4 linked regions of the Callithrix jacchus genome follow. The main gene of each other region encodes a partner of the protein of the gene in region 3 in a complex. Links are inferred from orthologs where the notes say so. Each region holds a gene or a part of one and is shown on either strand. Other genes may lie near its edges. The genes, in order: TAB1, AKAP13, MAPK14 and NOD2.

The links.
Region 1: the proteins of MAPK14 (region 3) and TAB1 are in contact, whole or in part, in a crystal structure (PDB 4LOP), measured with the Mus musculus proteins. The link is inferred for Callithrix jacchus from reciprocal best matches to the Homo sapiens genes MAPK14 and TAB1. Residues at the interface, in NP_036081.1 of Mus musculus: Gly110, Ala111, Asn115, Ile116, Cys119, Gln120, Lys121, Leu122, Thr123, Asp124, Asp125, His126, Phe129, Val158, Asn159, Glu160, Asp161, Cys162, Leu217, Thr218, Gly219, Arg220, Thr221, Leu222, Asn272, Val273, Phe274, Ile275, Gly276, Ala277; in NP_079885.2 of Mus musculus: Val385, Tyr386, Pro387, Val388, Ser389, Val390, Pro391, Tyr392, Leu405, Ser406, Leu407, Val408, Met409, Pro410.
Region 2: MAPK14 (region 3) and AKAP13 share a complex: the UniProt entries of both Homo sapiens proteins name them as parts of the signaling complex. The link is inferred for Callithrix jacchus from reciprocal best matches to the Homo sapiens genes MAPK14 and AKAP13.
Region 4: MAPK14 (region 3) and NOD2 share a complex: the UniProt entries of both Homo sapiens proteins name them as parts of the signaling complex. The link is inferred for Callithrix jacchus from reciprocal best matches to the Homo sapiens genes MAPK14 and NOD2.

The regions. Positions count from the first base shown.
Region 1 is NC_133502.1:210,212,551-210,216,413, reverse strand, and holds part of TAB1 (TGF-beta-activated kinase 1 and MAP3K7-binding protein 1), read right to left. Parts: intron 2,468-3,863; coding exon 2,331-2,467; intron 1,950-2,330; coding exon 1,796-1,949; intron 662-1,795; coding exon 575-661; intron 38-574; coding exon 1-37. UniProt on the Homo sapiens protein: Key adapter protein that plays an essential role in JNK and NF-kappa-B activation and proinflammatory cytokines production in response to stimulation with TLRs and cytokines.
Region 2 is NC_133507.1:29,704,244-29,708,106, forward strand, and holds part of AKAP13 (A-kinase anchor protein 13), read left to right. Parts: intron 1-298; coding exon 299-3,464; intron 3,465-3,863. UniProt on the Homo sapiens protein: Scaffold protein that plays an important role in assembling signaling complexes downstream of several types of G protein-coupled receptors.
Region 3 is NC_133505.1:44,389,486-44,393,348, reverse strand, and holds part of MAPK14 (mitogen-activated protein kinase 14), read right to left. Parts: intron 2,951-3,863; coding exon 2,836-2,950; intron 2,252-2,835; coding exon 2,180-2,251; intron 1-2,179. UniProt on the Homo sapiens protein: Serine/threonine kinase which acts as an essential component of the MAP kinase signal transduction pathway.
Region 4 is NC_133521.1:8,618,270-8,622,830, reverse strand, and holds the start of NOD2 (nucleotide-binding oligomerization domain-containing protein 2), read right to left. Parts: upstream 3,075-4,561; 5' UTR 3,012-3,074; intron 1-3,011. UniProt on the Homo sapiens protein: Pattern recognition receptor (PRR) that detects bacterial peptidoglycan fragments and other danger signals and plays an important role in gastrointestinal immunity.

The sequences.
Region 1 (3,863 bases), on a different chromosome or scaffold from region 3:
TCTGATACTGAGGAGGCAGCTGGTGCTGAGGGACCCCCTACAACCGTCAACAGAGGGGTCAGGGCAGGAAAGAACCATCTGGACCATCTTCCCAGCCCTCTCCCTCCCTTTGCTCTTAAGGGCAAAGATCTGAGGGCCTGGAGGACAGATAGACAGACAGTCCATGGCACAGCCAGGATGAAGCCAGCGCTGCAACTCCATCCAGGGAAAGTTCTTCCAGGAAAGCCGGAGATGACCTGACTCACAGCACAGAGGTCAGCGCTACAGATGCCAGTGGGCGGGCGATGTGAGCAGGTGGGTGACAAGGGTGGGGACCCATTCAGGTCAAAGGACTGCGAAAAGCTTTCCTCATGCCCACCACTGCCCAGCCAATGCTGAGCTTTAGTGTGCAGCTGCCCATAGCAGGGTGGTAAGGTCCCTCACCTGTGGCCACCCACCAGTGTTCCCCATGAGAAACTGCTCCCTAACTCCTGCTGCTCTGGCCCAGTAATGTCAAGACAAAGTAGCTAAGTCCATGCTTCTTGCAAAGCTGGGCCTGGACTTGACTCCCCTGGGTGTGGGCTGGGGAAATTACCTCTGGCAGTTGCGACTGGAGGCTTGCCTTCTCAGCCAAGGCATCGTCAATGGACTCCAGGAAGCTCCTCTCTACCACATCGAAGGCCTGGAGGGACACAGGACAGGGCAAAGACTGGTTCAAAACACCACTGTCACTGGTGCTAAAATGCCCCCTATGAAGAACAGCAACAGCTTCACTGTATTCACTGCAGGTCCTCCTGTGATGGGGCTTTCCGCATGTCGGTTTTGCCTCCAGCCCGGCACTGCAAGGCACTGGCTGCTTCTTGCAGATCCGTGTCTTTGACAAAGCCCTTCAGCCCCATAGGGGTGCGTAGCCAACAGAGGCGGCACTCAGAGGGCTTGGAGGCAGCAGACAGTGCGGAGGCTAAGAGCAAAGGCTTGGAGTAGGCCCAGCTGGTGTGACCTCTGGACACCTCAGTCTCACACAACAGAGGTTAAGTGTTGTTCCGAGGGTAAGTCCAGCCTGGCACTCAGCATGGCACCTGCTCAGAGAAACTGCCAGGACTATGACAGCTCCCATGATTACTACGACTTCTTCCTGGGAGGCTTCTGTCAAACTCTGCTGGCCCTGGGACACTGGTGACACTGACAACTCCCCCTGGGTGTGAGATCTGCTGACAATCACTGGCCATGGAGCCTGAGGCCATGAAGGGGAGGAAAAGGCTGGCACCACTGTTCTCTGGGAACAGAAGCCCATCTTCTCATCTAAAATGGGCCTGAGACATGCTCCTGAAAGGAGATGCCAGGAGGAAAATTCCCAACAGTGCAAGCAGAAAGGTGGAACCAGCGAATGATGGCAGCACCCCATCAAAAAGGGGAGGCAAGGTCTTCCCTGAATGCCCAGATATGCTTCCTGCACCTGGAGGCTGAGCACCTGGCTACATGAGAAAGAAATGGGTAGCTCCGAATGACCCCATTCCGACCAGGCCTTGCCCTGCTCCTACTTGACACCTCTCTCCATGCTCACATCCCTAAATCCCCCCGTCTCCAGCAGTACCTCCCCTGTCAGCTCTGCTAGCCACTGAAGGCCTGCTGCTTGCTGGCTGGTCCTGGACTCCTAGAGAAGGGGCCCCTATGCCGGGAGCTGCTTCTCTATCACGGTGAAGGGGCCGGCAGGATCTTTACACCAACCCTGGCAACGTGCTAGACGTGCAGGGCCCAGGCCCTGGGGGTGGGGGACACGATGGAGCCAGGTTACTGCCAGCCCCAGCACCATTACCTGCAGCAGCACGCGCCGCACGTCGGCCTCAGCATGCTCAACATTCAGCTGGCCCAGGAGGAGCTCCGCGGACAGCCGCTGGGCCACGAAGTTGGTCACCCGGTTGCCATCGTAGCCGTTGAAGACCCCATACAGGAAGCAGTTGTTCTCACTCCTGGCAGTGGGAGAGGGCAGAGGGAGGACTAAGACCAGGGTCTCACACGGAGGTGGAAGGAGAAAGGGAAAGGAATTGGGGGAGGCTAAAGCTACAGCGGCTGCAGCTTCAGGCACCGACCTGGGTCCCCCTGCTTTGGGCATCATTTCACTCTGGTGGCTATGACCTTCTGGGATACCCTCCTCCCCATGCTCACACTACCCCATCAGAGGAAACCCTTGGCTGGTCTAAAGTCCAGCAGTATAAAGGGCAGCAGCAGAGGCCACCTCCCACAGGCCACATCTCACTGGCAAGCTCATATGAGAAAGCTGCAAAGTCAATGTCTTTCCTTGCAAACTCACCAACTCCCTGGGTCCAGGACCAAAATGCTGGCACACACACCTGAACTTGAGCCAGCTGTCCTCTGGCGGGTGGCTCTCAGTGCCCTTGCCATCAGCAGAGTAGCTTCGGTTGGAGGCTGAGCCAACCCCAGAGAGGTGGCAGAGCGGAAGGTCGTCTGTCCAGCTTGGCTGCTGCTCCTGGGGAAGGACACCAGGAAGCCGTGAGGCACCACTGCTTCTGCAGCGTAGATCCCACTTCATCTTTTTCTTCTGCAACAAAAACCTAGCAGGCCGGCAGCCCTACACAGAGGGTTCCACTTCCCTTGGGAAAACAAAGATGTTTGTATGAACAGACACCTGCAGAAGGGTTTGCTGTTTTTATGGCTAGTCTACAAACTAGTTCCCCAGGAAAACGGAAAGACTCCAGCATTCCAAAGGCAAGGTGCAGCAATGGCCTCCAGGAGTGAGCTGTTATGAAACCTAGTGAAACACATACAAAGGTCTCAAACTCTTGACAGGAAACTCTTTGGGGCCTGCACCTCTTACTGCACTGGCTCCAAATGCACACTGCAAAGGAATCCCTTGGGCACTGGTTGAAACTGCAGGCTGCAGGCCCCACCCTCAGAATGACTGATCTGGGCAGGACCCAGGACATCTGAAGTACAGGCCGCTCCCCACGAGTGATGCTTTCAGGTGACCTAAGACTCACCCTAGAGAAACTCTGACTTGTCACTCTCTCTGACACTGGGGCCTCCAAGTGCCAGGGAGAGTGACTGAGACTGGCTTATAAGTCGGAGTTTATGAGCTAGTTTGTAAGACATCCTCAGGCCACCCCGACATCCCCTCCCATCTCCCCTGCCACATCCTTCTCCCCCAGTCCCAAATGCCTGCAGGCCTGTCCATCCCCTGCTCTTTGCCTCCACGTGAACACCCTCCTCCTTGCCTCACAATTCTCCAGGTCCTTCGGGACTCTCTGGCTCAGGAGTCACCACCTCCAGGTGGTCTTCCTTCAGGATGACCCTCCCCAGGACTGGCTGATGGCCCTCTCATGTACCCCGACTGTACCCTGATTACAGCACCCTAGTCTGTTTGCAACACCCACTCCACCGTAGAGGATCTCAAACCAGGCTGTTCAGCATAATCAATGCACAGCTTTAAACACACTCACAGGGTCCAGGCCCCGACCCCGGCCCAAACACAAATGCTGAATTTCCCAATCTCCCTACGGTACACCCTGAGCATCTGTATTTTTTTAAGGCCCAGGAACAACTTTGATGCAAGGCCCAGGTGCCATTTCTTGCCCTAGATCTGGCCTCCCACCTGAGAAGTGTGCCCTGTTTACAAGGGCACTCCCAAGACCATCATGCGGAACTAGAGCAAACTGGAATAACTGGGAGAACCACAGCAATTTCAAGGAAGATAAAATTTGTATTGGCTGGGTGCAGTGGCTCACACCTGCAACCCCGGCACTTTGGGAAGCTGAGGAGGGGAGACCATTTGGTGTCAGGAATTTGAGACCAGCCTGGCCAACTTGGTGAAATCCCATCTGTCTCTACTAAAAACAAAAAAAAAGCCAGGCGTGGTGGCAAATGCC
Region 2 (3,863 bases), on a different chromosome or scaffold from region 3:
AAAAAAAGTTTTTGAGACTCAATTTTAATTTACTTTCTAAAATGAGTTCAAAATATAGAAAATAGAAATTTCATATGTTCTAATTCATTTTGAACATCCTAATGTATAGGCAAAAATGAGAGAAGAAAGTAGTATCAGGAACGAGAGAACATTTGTATTCTCTTAGATCAGCTTATCATGTGACCTTCGAAGGGCTAGAATGGAAGTGAGTTATGTCCAACAGGATTTTTGCTCAGAGGTATCGGTGGCATCTTCTTCTATGGACAATTTTTTAAAAGTGTATTTCATTTCCTCCTAGAAAACAAACCTCAAGCAGATGGACAATCTTAAGCCCTTAATGGTGACAGCACAGGATTCTTCTGGTGCCCCACAGACAGATGGCCAGTTTCTTCCCTGTGCACCAGAGCCCATGGACAGTCAGCAACTTTCTTCTCCTGAAGAGACGGAGAGCTCTCAGTGCTGCCCAGGGAGCTCTGTTGCACAGACTGAAAGTCCCTGTGATTTGTCAAGCATAGTTGAGGAGGAGAATACAGACCGTTCCTGTAGGAAGAAAAATAAAGGCATGGAAAGAAAAGGGGAAGAGGTGGGGCCAGCACCTATTGTGGACTCTGGAACTGTGTCTGATCAAGACAGCTGCCTTCAGAGCTTGCCTGATTATGGAGTAAAGGGCACGAAACGCCGTTTGTCTTGTGGAAACAAAAACGAAGAAACTGGAACAAAATCTTCTGGAATGCCCACAGACGAGGAGTCCTTGAGCAGTGGAGATGCTGTGCTGCAAAGAGATGTGGTCATGGTGCCAGGCACAGCCCAGTATTCCTCTGCAGGTGAACTGGCAAGCATTTCAACAACAGATGTCGGTACCCCAGAGAGTGCAGGGGAAGCGGAACATGGGCTCATGAACCCAGATGCCACTGTCCAGAAGAATGTGCTTCAAGTAGGGGAGAGTACAAAGGATAATATGGGCACAGCTGGAGCCTCTGACATGCAAGTCACAAGTAAGCCTGTGGATAAAGTCAGTGTCCCAAACTGTGCCTCTGCCACCAGTTCCCTGGGTGGTAACAAACCTGCTGAATCCTCACTTGCATTTAGTAATGAGGAAACCTCCATTGAAAAAACAGCAGAAACGGAAACTTCACGAAGTTGTGAGGAGAGTGTTCATGCCCCAGTAGAACAGAATTCTGTGGTGCTTCCAGCTGCTGCAAAAGACAAGATTTCAGATGGGTTAGAACCTTGCACTGTCTTAGCAGGCATAGGTGAAGCAACGTCACCCTCAGATTTAGCCCTTCCCAGGCTGGAAGTAGATGTAATGCCACACCAGAACTCAGAAATAAATTCATCTCATGCTCAAAGCCAAAAGGGCAAATCTTCACCCATTTGTTCTACAACTGGAGATTATAAACTTTGCTCAAACTCCGCGTGTCAACAGAACACAGTGACTTCTAGTGGCGAGTTGGTTGCACAACTGTGTGATAATATAGTTAGCCAGCCCAAAAGCACCACAGCAAGGCAACCCAACTCACAAGATCCACCCAAGGCCACCCACTGTGAAGACCCACAGGCTAATACAATCACCTCTGACCCGGTAAGGGATACCCAGGAACGTGTGGATTTTTGTCCTTTCAAAGTGGTGGATAACGAAGGCCAAGGAAAAGATGTGAAATTCGATAAATCTTTAGCAAATATGCTTGAGGTGCCTTCACATCCACATCCAGTTGTCCCTAAAATGGAGAAAGAACTGGTGCCAGACCAGGCAGTAATATCAGACAGTACTTTCTTTCTGGCCAACAGTCCAGGCAGTGAATCAGTAACCAGGGATGACGCACTTTCTTTTGTCCCCTCCCAGAAAGAAAAGGGAACAGCAACTCCTGCGCTACATGAGGCTACAGATTGTAGAGATGGCCCAGACGGAGATGCGAATGATCCTGATACGCAGCCACTAGAAGACAGGGCAGCAGGCCTGTCCCCATGCTCCACTGTTGCAGAGCTTCAGCTCGTGATGGGGAATACCAGTCTCACCAGACTTGGTGGAGAACATGAGGGTCCCGCCCCTTCAGCAGCTCCGGAAGTTCTGAGTATCAAGGGGGACACAGACTCCTCCCTGCAAAATGCGGGTAAGGCCACTTTGGCTTTAGATTCAGTTTTGACTGAAGAAGGAAAAATTCTGGTGGTTTCAGAAAGCTCTGGAGCTCAGGAACAAGATAAGGATAAAGCAGTGACCTCTTCCTCCATTATGGAAAATGCTCTTTCTTCAGGAACATTGCAGGAGGAGCAGGGAACACCATCTCCTGAACAAGAGACTCCACGATTTCATGAAAAATCTATCTCAGCCGCCTCTGCCAAGGACGAAGCACTTCAGCTAAGCAATTCACCGGGTGCACCCTCTGCCTATCTTAAGGCAGAAACTGAACATAACAAGGAAGTGGCCCCACAAGTCTCACTGCTAACTCAAGGTTGGGCTTTCCAGAGCCTGGTGCTACCAGGAACAAGTCTGGGTACAAACTCAAGGCAGGAAGCCTTGGGTGCAGAGCAGAACAGCTCCACTCTGTTGCAGTGTCTGTTGCCAGATGGGTGTGATTGGTCTGAGGCTCTTAATTACAGTCAGCCTTCTCCTCTGGATGACGAAGTGAAGAACACTAAATGCCAGGGAAAACCTAATATTAGTTCCTGTGAGGTGAGTGGAAATGTGACCATGGATATTACAGGGTTTAATGATGTACAAGATACAGCTGAGCCCAGAAGAAAGAGTGTGTCACACAACACCCAAGACATCCTGATTCCAAACGTCTCGTCGAGCCAAGAGAAGAAGGTCATCCTGGGTTTGCCAGTAGCTTTACAAGACAAAGCTGTGACTGACCCACAGGGATTTGGAACCCCAGAGATGGTACCTCTTGATTGGGTGAAAGGGAAGCTGGAGGGAGCAGACCACAGCTGTAACACGGGCGACTCTGAGGAAGCCCGAATAGACAATGAAGCACATCCTGTCCTACTGCAGCCTGCTGCCAAGGAGCTCCCCACAAAAATGGGGCTCTCAGCCCATCATGATGGGACCCCAGCTGGCAAGAGGGAAGTTATGCGAGGCCCGCCTTCAGACAGGGGAAGGAGCACTCCCTCTCTACCTTGCTTGGTCTCTGCCCAAGCTGCACCTTTGCCTAAGGGAGTGGACTTGATAGAGGAGGCTGCCAGCCGTATAGTGGATGCCGTCATCCAAGGAGTCAAGGCCGCTGGAGCACTGCTTACTGAGGAGAAGGCCTGTCACGTGTCAGCGTCCAGCGCTGAGTTGGATCCTCTCACTGAAGGGCTAGAGAATGCTTCTACAGAAAAAGTGAGTGCTTTCTCGCCTGGGGAGAGCCTGCCAGTGGGCAGTACTCATGAGGAAGCCACGGGGAGCCTTGGAGGCTGTTTTGCTGGAGGGGAGGAGCCAGAGAAGATTATTCTACCTGTGCGAGGGCCTGAGGCAGCAACAGGTAAGCAAAACAGAATACAAAATTAACAGTCTGAGAAGCCGATTACCTTAAGAATCTCTGTGGTGTCCTGGTAAAAATACAGGCATCTAGGCCGGGCGCAGTGGCTCAAGCCTGTAATCCCAGCACTTTGGGAGGCCGAGGCGGGTGGATCACGAGGTTGGCAGATCGAGACCATCCTGGTCAACATGGTGAAACCCCGTCTCTACTAAAAATTACAAAAAATTGGCTGGGCACGGTGGCGTGTGCCTGTAATCCCAGCTACTCAGGAGGCTGAGGCAGGAGAATTGCCTGAGCCCGGGGGCGGAGGTTGCAGTGAGCCGAGATCGCACCATTGCACTCCAGCCTGGGTAACAAGAGCGAAACTCCGTCTCAAAAAAAAAAAAAAAAAAAAAAAAAGCA
Region 3 (3,863 bases):
CCTACCTGTCAAAACAAACAAACAAAAGACCATTAATGATTCATAGGTAGACAATACAGTGGGAGGTGTAGGGGTAATGTTTTGCAAAGGTCATTACTGAAGATGATGGCTAACATTTACTGGCAGGCTTGTCTCAGTACTTTCCAGTTATTTTTTTTTTTTTTTTTGAGGCGGAGTTTCGCTCTTGTTACCCAGGCTGGAGTGCAATGGCGCGATCTCGGCTCACCACGCCACCATGCCCAGCTAATTTTTTGTATTTTTAGTAGAGACGGGGTTTCACCATGTTGACCAGGATGGTCTCGATCTCTTGACCTCGTGATCCACCCACCTCGGCCTCCCAAAGTGCTGGGATTACAGGCGTGAGCCACCGCGCCCGGCTACTTTCCAGTTATTATCTGGCTGAATTCTTACAACAACCTTGTGAGTACGTATGATTATTATCATTTTATGGTTAAGGAAACTGAGAGGCACAGAGGTTAGAAAACTTGCTCAAAGTTACATAGCTGGAAATAAAAGAGCTAAGATCTAAACCCAGGAAGTCTGGCTCCAGAGCATGTGCTTAACCTGTATGCTATACAGTCTTTCTCCCTTTGCCACCTTCTGTGTCTACACAGGCATGGAGGTCTGTGACTGACTGAATGGGTAGCTGGAGATACAGACACAAAAAAAGGAAAGGGAGGAGGGAACAGGGAATAGCATCAGGATAGCAGCTATTCCAGAGGACAAACCAAGGATAGGACTCTGAGATAAGTACCTGAGGAAAGGGGGAAGTATAAATTTTCCCTAATTCTCTTACCTTGGAGTGTAATATGTGTGTGTGTGTGTGTGTGTGTGTGTGTGTGTGTGTACATACACATATATATATACACGCACACACACATATATATATATATATACACACATATATATATGCACACACATACATACCAAATTTCCAAGAAACAGATATAAGGTGAAGGAAGCAAAGGACAAAGGAGAAATACCAGGTATTAAACTAACTTAAAATCCAGAGGTAGGGAGTAATAAGGTAAGCTAAGTACAGGGAGCCTGAAGTACAGGGAGTCTGTATCAATCCAGTAACATTCAGAGAGAAAGAAACAGCTTTACCTAAGAAATAGAGGTTTTTTTCAGTTCATAATGAAAGTACATTCTCTGTGGCAGAAGACAGAACACAGGGGTAGGTATCATGGACATCATAGTCATTATAGAAGTATATCCCAAACTGTGAGCAAAGTGAACTGACATTCTGGTTTATAAACTCATCCATTTATTTAGGTAAGGGACTAAAATGGCTTTTACATCTCTAGGCATAATAGATCGGAAGTAATTGTAGCATATCTAACAGCCCAACCAAAACCACTTGAAGGCTAGTTAACTCAATTATATTTAAAAAAAAAATCCCCAAAACTAATTCTAGACATATGTTTTAACATTCTTTCTTACCTAAACATCTTCCATAAGTAGAACTGATGAGAGTTCCAATAAATCACATTTTCATGACATTATTACTAAACCATGAAACAAGCATACTGCAGATAGAAAAGGAGCTAAAATAAAGGGGCTATATAATAAACCATAAACTAGACGGTAAGTCTGGGAGTAAATTAATTGGTTTGGCTGCCATCTGAGATAAAGTTGTGCTGGGAAAAAAAAAAAGCACATGACAGGGTAACCTTGTCACTTCTTGCTTTTACTATTTGTTGTCAAAAAACAAACATAACAAATAAACAATATATCATTGCAGGTACCAAACATAGCCTTTTTGATACATAAAACAAACATAATAGCAAGACACCCTTTAATTATAAATGGGTATCTTGTACTCATTAAGTGTTTATACAAGTAAACTAAACCTGTCATTGGGATCCAGAGCTTTTCATGAGTATGCTCAGGTCTCAGAACCACTGTGGGATGATTAATAAGGGTTTGTTGCAAAAAGATGACAGATTTGAAGGGTTTTTCAGCTTAGGAGGAATTTTTTCCAACTCATGAAAGTAAACTGAAGCCTCTTTCTTGGCAGGGCAAGCTACTCAGTAAGAAGGGAGACCTCATAACATATTATCTGGACTATAAAAGCAAAAAACTGAGAGCCTTCCCTAGAGATAAGTAAAAGGAGTATACATCCATGGACACCAGAATACAAATAAGAAACAAGAATCCAAAACTTTTTAAAGGATACGGTCTGTGCCAGGAAACAATGTTCTTCCAGTCAACAGCTCGGCCATTATGCATCCCACTGACCAAATATCAACTGGCAATATTAAAGAGAAATAAAAGTACATGTGATGTCACTGTTATTATACTTGGCAACAAATAAAACCATAACTAGGAGTGAAATACTCAAATTACTATTTAAAACCTCTGAGCCTCAACAATCATTCTCATTTTTACAGAAATAAATGAGCTTGATCTTTACCCCACTAAAGGGCTGTTCAAAGGTGGGGTAAGTCAAAACATACTTAAGAGAAATAAAAAAAAAAAAAAAAAGGAGAAATAAGCTGTTCAAAAAAGGAGCAAAAGAATGGTAGATTCTTCCAAGTAATATTGAGGGGTTAAAATTATGGACTCTTTGTCTTCAGGTATAAATACTCAGAGAATAAATTCAAAATCTAAATAAATAAAAACCCAGTTGCTAAATCACGAGCTTTAAAAGCTGTATATAAAACCCCAATTCCCCATCTGAGCAAGTGAAATGTTTTCACCTGTAGGCTTTAAAAGGATCACTGAGGAAAGAAAAGATATTTCTCTCCCCTCCCATAATCTCTACTTCTGAGAATCCCAAATGCATCCAACATAGAATTAAATAAGGCCCTAAATAACCAGTGCAAGTAATACCTGTCTGGTTGTAATGCATCCAGTTCAGCATGATCTCAGGAGCCCTATACCACCTAGTGGCCACGTAGCCTGTCATTTCATCATCTGTGTGCCGAGCCAGTCCAAAATCCAGGATCTAAAGGGCAGAAGAGGAACAGACAAACTGTTAAGACTTATAAACAGGCAGGGGAAAACAACAACAACAACAACTCTGTTGCCTTTTTAAAAAGGAAAACAAGATAGCACTTTTATAAAGAGATTTCCTGGTCCATGCTTAGAGTGCATGGTAAACTTACAGTGAAAACTCAAAAAACTGAATTACAAAAAGCAAAACAAAAATGTCACTCCTTGGTATTTAATCAAGCGCAATGAGAACTTATGGCCATACAAAGGTTTGCACATGAATATTCACAGTTGCTTTACATAGCCTCATAGTCAAACTAAAGCAAATGTCCATCAGCAGGTGGACAGATTTAAAAATCCTGACATGTTCATAAAACAAAATACTATTAGCAATAAAAAGGAAAAAAACATTGACACAACAATACAGAATCATTACACTAAGCAAAGGCTAGATACACAAAAATACACACTATATGATTCCATGTACATGAAACTCCAGAAAAGATAAAACGAATCATAGTGTTAGAAGCAGATCCATAGTTGCTTTGAGCGAGAATTAGGGGTGGAAGGGTGGGGATTGACTAGGAAGGAGCACAACAGACTTTTTAAAGTAACAGAAATGTTCTTGGCCAGGAGCGGTGACTTATGCCTGCAATCCCAGCACTTTGGGAGGCCAAGGAGGGTGGATCACAAGGTCAGGAGATGGAGACCATCCTGGCCAACATGGTGAAACCCTGTCTCTACTAAAAATACAAAATTAGCTAGGCGTGGTGGCATGCCCCTGTAGTCCCAGCTACTCGGGAAGCTGAGGCAGGAGAATCACTTGAACTCGGTAGGTGGAGGTTGCCGTGAGCTGAGATCAAACCACTGCACTTCCAGACTGGGTGACAGAGCAAGACTCCAACTCGAAAGAAAAAAAAAGTTCT
Region 4 (4,561 bases), on a different chromosome or scaffold from region 3:
TTTTTCCTGCTTCCATTTAAATTGAGAAAGCGAGAGAAAAAATAGACGTTCACTTATTACCCGTTTCCTAAAAATTGTCCTTAACATCCTTCCTTTACCGCTTTATCACCTGGTGGGGCCTCCCTTCTTCAGACAAAATCTAACAGTCTATCTGCACCACCTTCTGCTCTCTCCTTCAGTTACTACAACTTCAAAGACACCATTGTCCTCCCCAAGGTGAGGGCCATTTAGAGAAAGGGGCACTTCCTTGCTGAAAGAGAGGGTCAAGGGGTGACCCGCATGGGCTCTCCCCAAACCCCAGGCCCAGGCCTGAGCCCAGACACCTCCTTCCTTCCTGAGACCTTAGCCAGCCTGGTTTTTCTGGGGCCAAGAGCAAATGCTTGGCTTAAGTGCTGAAATCTCAGCCCACTGACCCCTTGCAGACAGAAAAGGAGGGGAAACTCAAGGAAGCTCAACTTCCCAAGCCTTCTGGGACTCTGCTGGGGCCAAGCCCCACACCCTCCCACAGCCATCCTCCATTCTCCCTCCCCAGCACTGAGCTTCTCTCCTTAAAAGACCAGTTCCCCCACCAGTGAACAATGCACTCTAATCCTCCATTGTAAAAGTAAGGCCCTCTCTTGACGCCCCTCTTCTTCATTTGGCTCCAATCCCATTTCTCTGCCTCCTTTATAGCAGGCCCCCTTGTCTGTGCCTGCACTGCTGTCCCCAAATCCTCCCATCCCTTCTCATCCCCCAAGTTCCCCATCCAGCTCCAGTCAGACTGTTTTGATCATGGTCACCAGTGACCTCCCATTGCTCAATCCTAAGCCCTCAGCCTGCTTGCTCTGCCAGGGGCATTGGTCATAATTGCTCCACCAGGGGCATTGGTCATAATTGCTCCCTCCTTCCCCCTTGGGGCACCCCAACTCTCTCATTTTCACTCTTTCTGTCTTCCTGGCTGGTTCCTAACACCGGGGGCCCCAGCGCTCAATGGCTGGACCCCTTCTCTTCTCCATAGTGCTCCCTTCCTAGATGAAGCCACCTGCTCTTGCGGCTTTAAATACCAGCTATAGGGTGACGATGCCCACAGTTTCATTTCCAACTCCAACCTCCGCCCTTAACTTTTCCCAACTGCTTAATCATCGTTGGTGCCTAATGGACAGCTCACACGACAAGCACAAAACCAAACTCCTGATCTCCCCCGTCGCAACTCCCATTGCAGTTCACGGCAGCTTCAAACCTCCAGAAGCTTGAGCCAAAAACTCAGAATCATCCTTGATTCTACCTTTCTCTTGCACCCCAAATCCTATTGACATAGCCTTTGAAATATATCCCAAATCTGAAGGTCTGGGGTTTTTTTCTATTTTTTTTAACCACCTGTGGGCCATGGTGTAAGCCACTTTGGTCTCTCCCCGGAACAATGTACTGATCCTCTCACCAGGCTCTCCTTTTGCCCTTAGTCCACCCATCACTATCCATTCTCCACCCCACAGCTGGATGGGCCTGCCAGACCCCAAGTCAGAGCAGGTGACTTCTCAGCTCCAAACCAGGGCTCCCACCGCGCTCAGAGTAAAAGCCAAAGCCCCCCCACCCGCCCGCACAGATACTCACAAGGCTCGCCCTTGCCTCCTGATGACTGCCCAGCTGTCGTGGTCTTGGGGAAGCCTTCCCTAACTGTGCTATATACAATGCAATACCCAGCCCCAGCACCCCATCCTGCTTCCCCGCTTTGTTTTACTCGTAGCACTTCCCACTGCCTGCCATGCCACAGATTTACCTCTTTCATTGCTGTCCATTCCTTTCCAGAATGTGCACTCCATGAGGGCAGGGAGTTTAATCTGATTTCCCCATTGCTCAGTCTCACATCTCATTCAGTGCATGAATGATGACTGCTGGAATGGGTGAAAGAATGGATGTGCTCTGCATGGCTCCAGGAGACAGATGTGGAACCAAGTGCAAAATCTGTAAGCCACAGATTTTAGGTAAAGGAAACAAGAGCCGTAAGACACTGAAAAGCCACCTCATCAGTAATAAGCTCCCCACCACCAGGCATGTGTTGCAGAGGGCTTCTGAACTGGGTTGGAGGGAGGTGGGCTGGATGAGGATGCTTCCAGCCTTGATCCCAGGGTGCAGAGAGGCAGAGGGACCTTGCGAGGCCAAATTCAAGGGCTGCAGCAACCCCATGGCTGAGTGATTGGGACAGGCAAGTACAGGCAGTGAGGATGTCACTCTGGTCTTCTTCACTAAGGGGTTGGGGAGGGTGACAGGGCAGGCGATCCCCCTCTGTAGAACAAGGACCTTGGAGGAGGCCAAGTCACAGCCCATGGGAAAACCAAGGCCATGGCAAGAAGCCCAAGGGCTCAGAAAAAGCAAACTTGGAAGCGGGGGTCCAGCCTCCAACCCTCATGCAGCTTCAGGAGGCCCTCCGCAGGGCTATTGGGTGGAGGGCTTTTCAGTTCATTGGAATGTAAGCAGGACCAGACAGCTGCTCCGTCAACTTGAGAAGCAGAGAGCAAACAGCCGGGGGATGTGGCCACACAGGTCCTGGTGTGGGCTATCTGGGGAGGGATGGATTTGAACTTAGATCTCACACCCACCAAGGGAGAAGGAGGAGGCAGGAGATTCCCCTAAGAAGTGCAGACAGCAGCAGTAGGATCCTCCGGGCAGACCCTCTCACACCACTCACTGGCATGGTGAAGATGAGGAAACTGAGTCCCACAGAGAGGAAAGAACTCAAAAGAATGGCGCCCTCAGAGACCTGAAGCCCGGGCTCCTCAGGACTTTCCACTCCTGCCAGGAGCCTCCCCAACCTGGAGATGTCCCCTTTCCTTCTCATGTCCCATCTACACCCGGGACTCCCCCAGGAGAAACCGAGGCAACCCTTCTCCAAGCCCTGCAGCCAAGACTGCTAGACTGCTCGGACGGACGCCAAGTGTTCGAGTCCTGGGGGCGGCACCATGGACACCCACAGTCTTCCCGCAGCCCACCCCCAGGCGCTAGGCACAGGCCTCGCGCCAGGAAACAGCACTCACCGCGAGCCGCCGGCGCCCGGACTCCCAGGCCTGCTGTGGGCCACGACTCCGGGCTCCACCTCCGGCTTGGGCTGCGCCTCCGTCTGCGCGGGCGTTCGGCTCCACCCCCGCCTGGACCCCGCCCCTGCTCTGCCCGGACGGCCGCACCCGCTCCAGTCCCAGGCCACGCAGCCCCGAGAGCGCCCACTCCAGGGCTGGCGAGGCTCACAGGGGACAGGGAGGGAGGGCGCAGGAAAGGGGCCGGGCCTGTCTGCGGGGCTGGACGGTCCTGGCTGGGTGCCCTGGTCAGCAGGCCTCCCTTTCTGGGCCTCATTTCAACCAGGAGGGAACCGGACAGTCCTCAGAACAACCCGCTTCCCAACACACACACCACGCACACACTGCTTCCCAACACACATATACACACACACCGCTTCCAACACACACACACACACACACCCCGCTTCCCAACACACACACACACACACACCCCGCTTCCCAACACACACCACACACACACTGCTTCCCAACACACACACCACGCACACACTGCTTCCAACACACACACACACACACACTGCTTCCCAACACACATATACACACACACCGCTTCCAACACACACACACACACACACCCCGCTTCCCAACACACACACACACACACACACCCCGCTTCCCAACACACACCACACACACACTGCTTCCCAACACACACACCACGCACACACTGCTTCCCAACACACACACCATGCACACACTGCTTCCCAACACACATATACACACACACCGCTTCCAACACACACACACACACACACACCCCACTTCCCAACACACACCACACACACACTGCTTCCCAACACACACCACACACACACTGCTTCCCAACACACATATACACACACACCGCTTCCAACACACACACACACACACCCCGCTTCCCAACACACACACACACACACACCCCGCTTCCCAACACACACCACACACACACTGCTTCCCAACACACACACCACGCACACACTGCTTCCCAACACACACACCATGCACACACTGCTTCCCAACACACATATACACACACACCGCTTCCAACACACACACACACACACACACCCCACTTCCCAACACACACCACACACACACTGCTTCCCAACACACACCACACACACACTGCTTCCCAACACACATATACACACACACCGCTTCCAACACACACACACACACACACACCCCACTTCCCAACACACACCACACACACACTGCTTCCCAACACACACACCACGCACACACTGCTTCCCAACACACACACCACACACACACTGCTTCCCAACACACACCACACACACACTGCTTCCCAACACACACCACACACACACTGCTTCCCAACACACATATACACACACACCGCTTCCAACACACACACACACACACCGCTTCCCAGCACACACCACACACACACTGCTTCCCAACACACATATACACACACACCGCTTCCAACACACACACACACACACCCCACTTCCCAACACACACCACACACACACTGCTTCCCAACACACACACCACACACACAC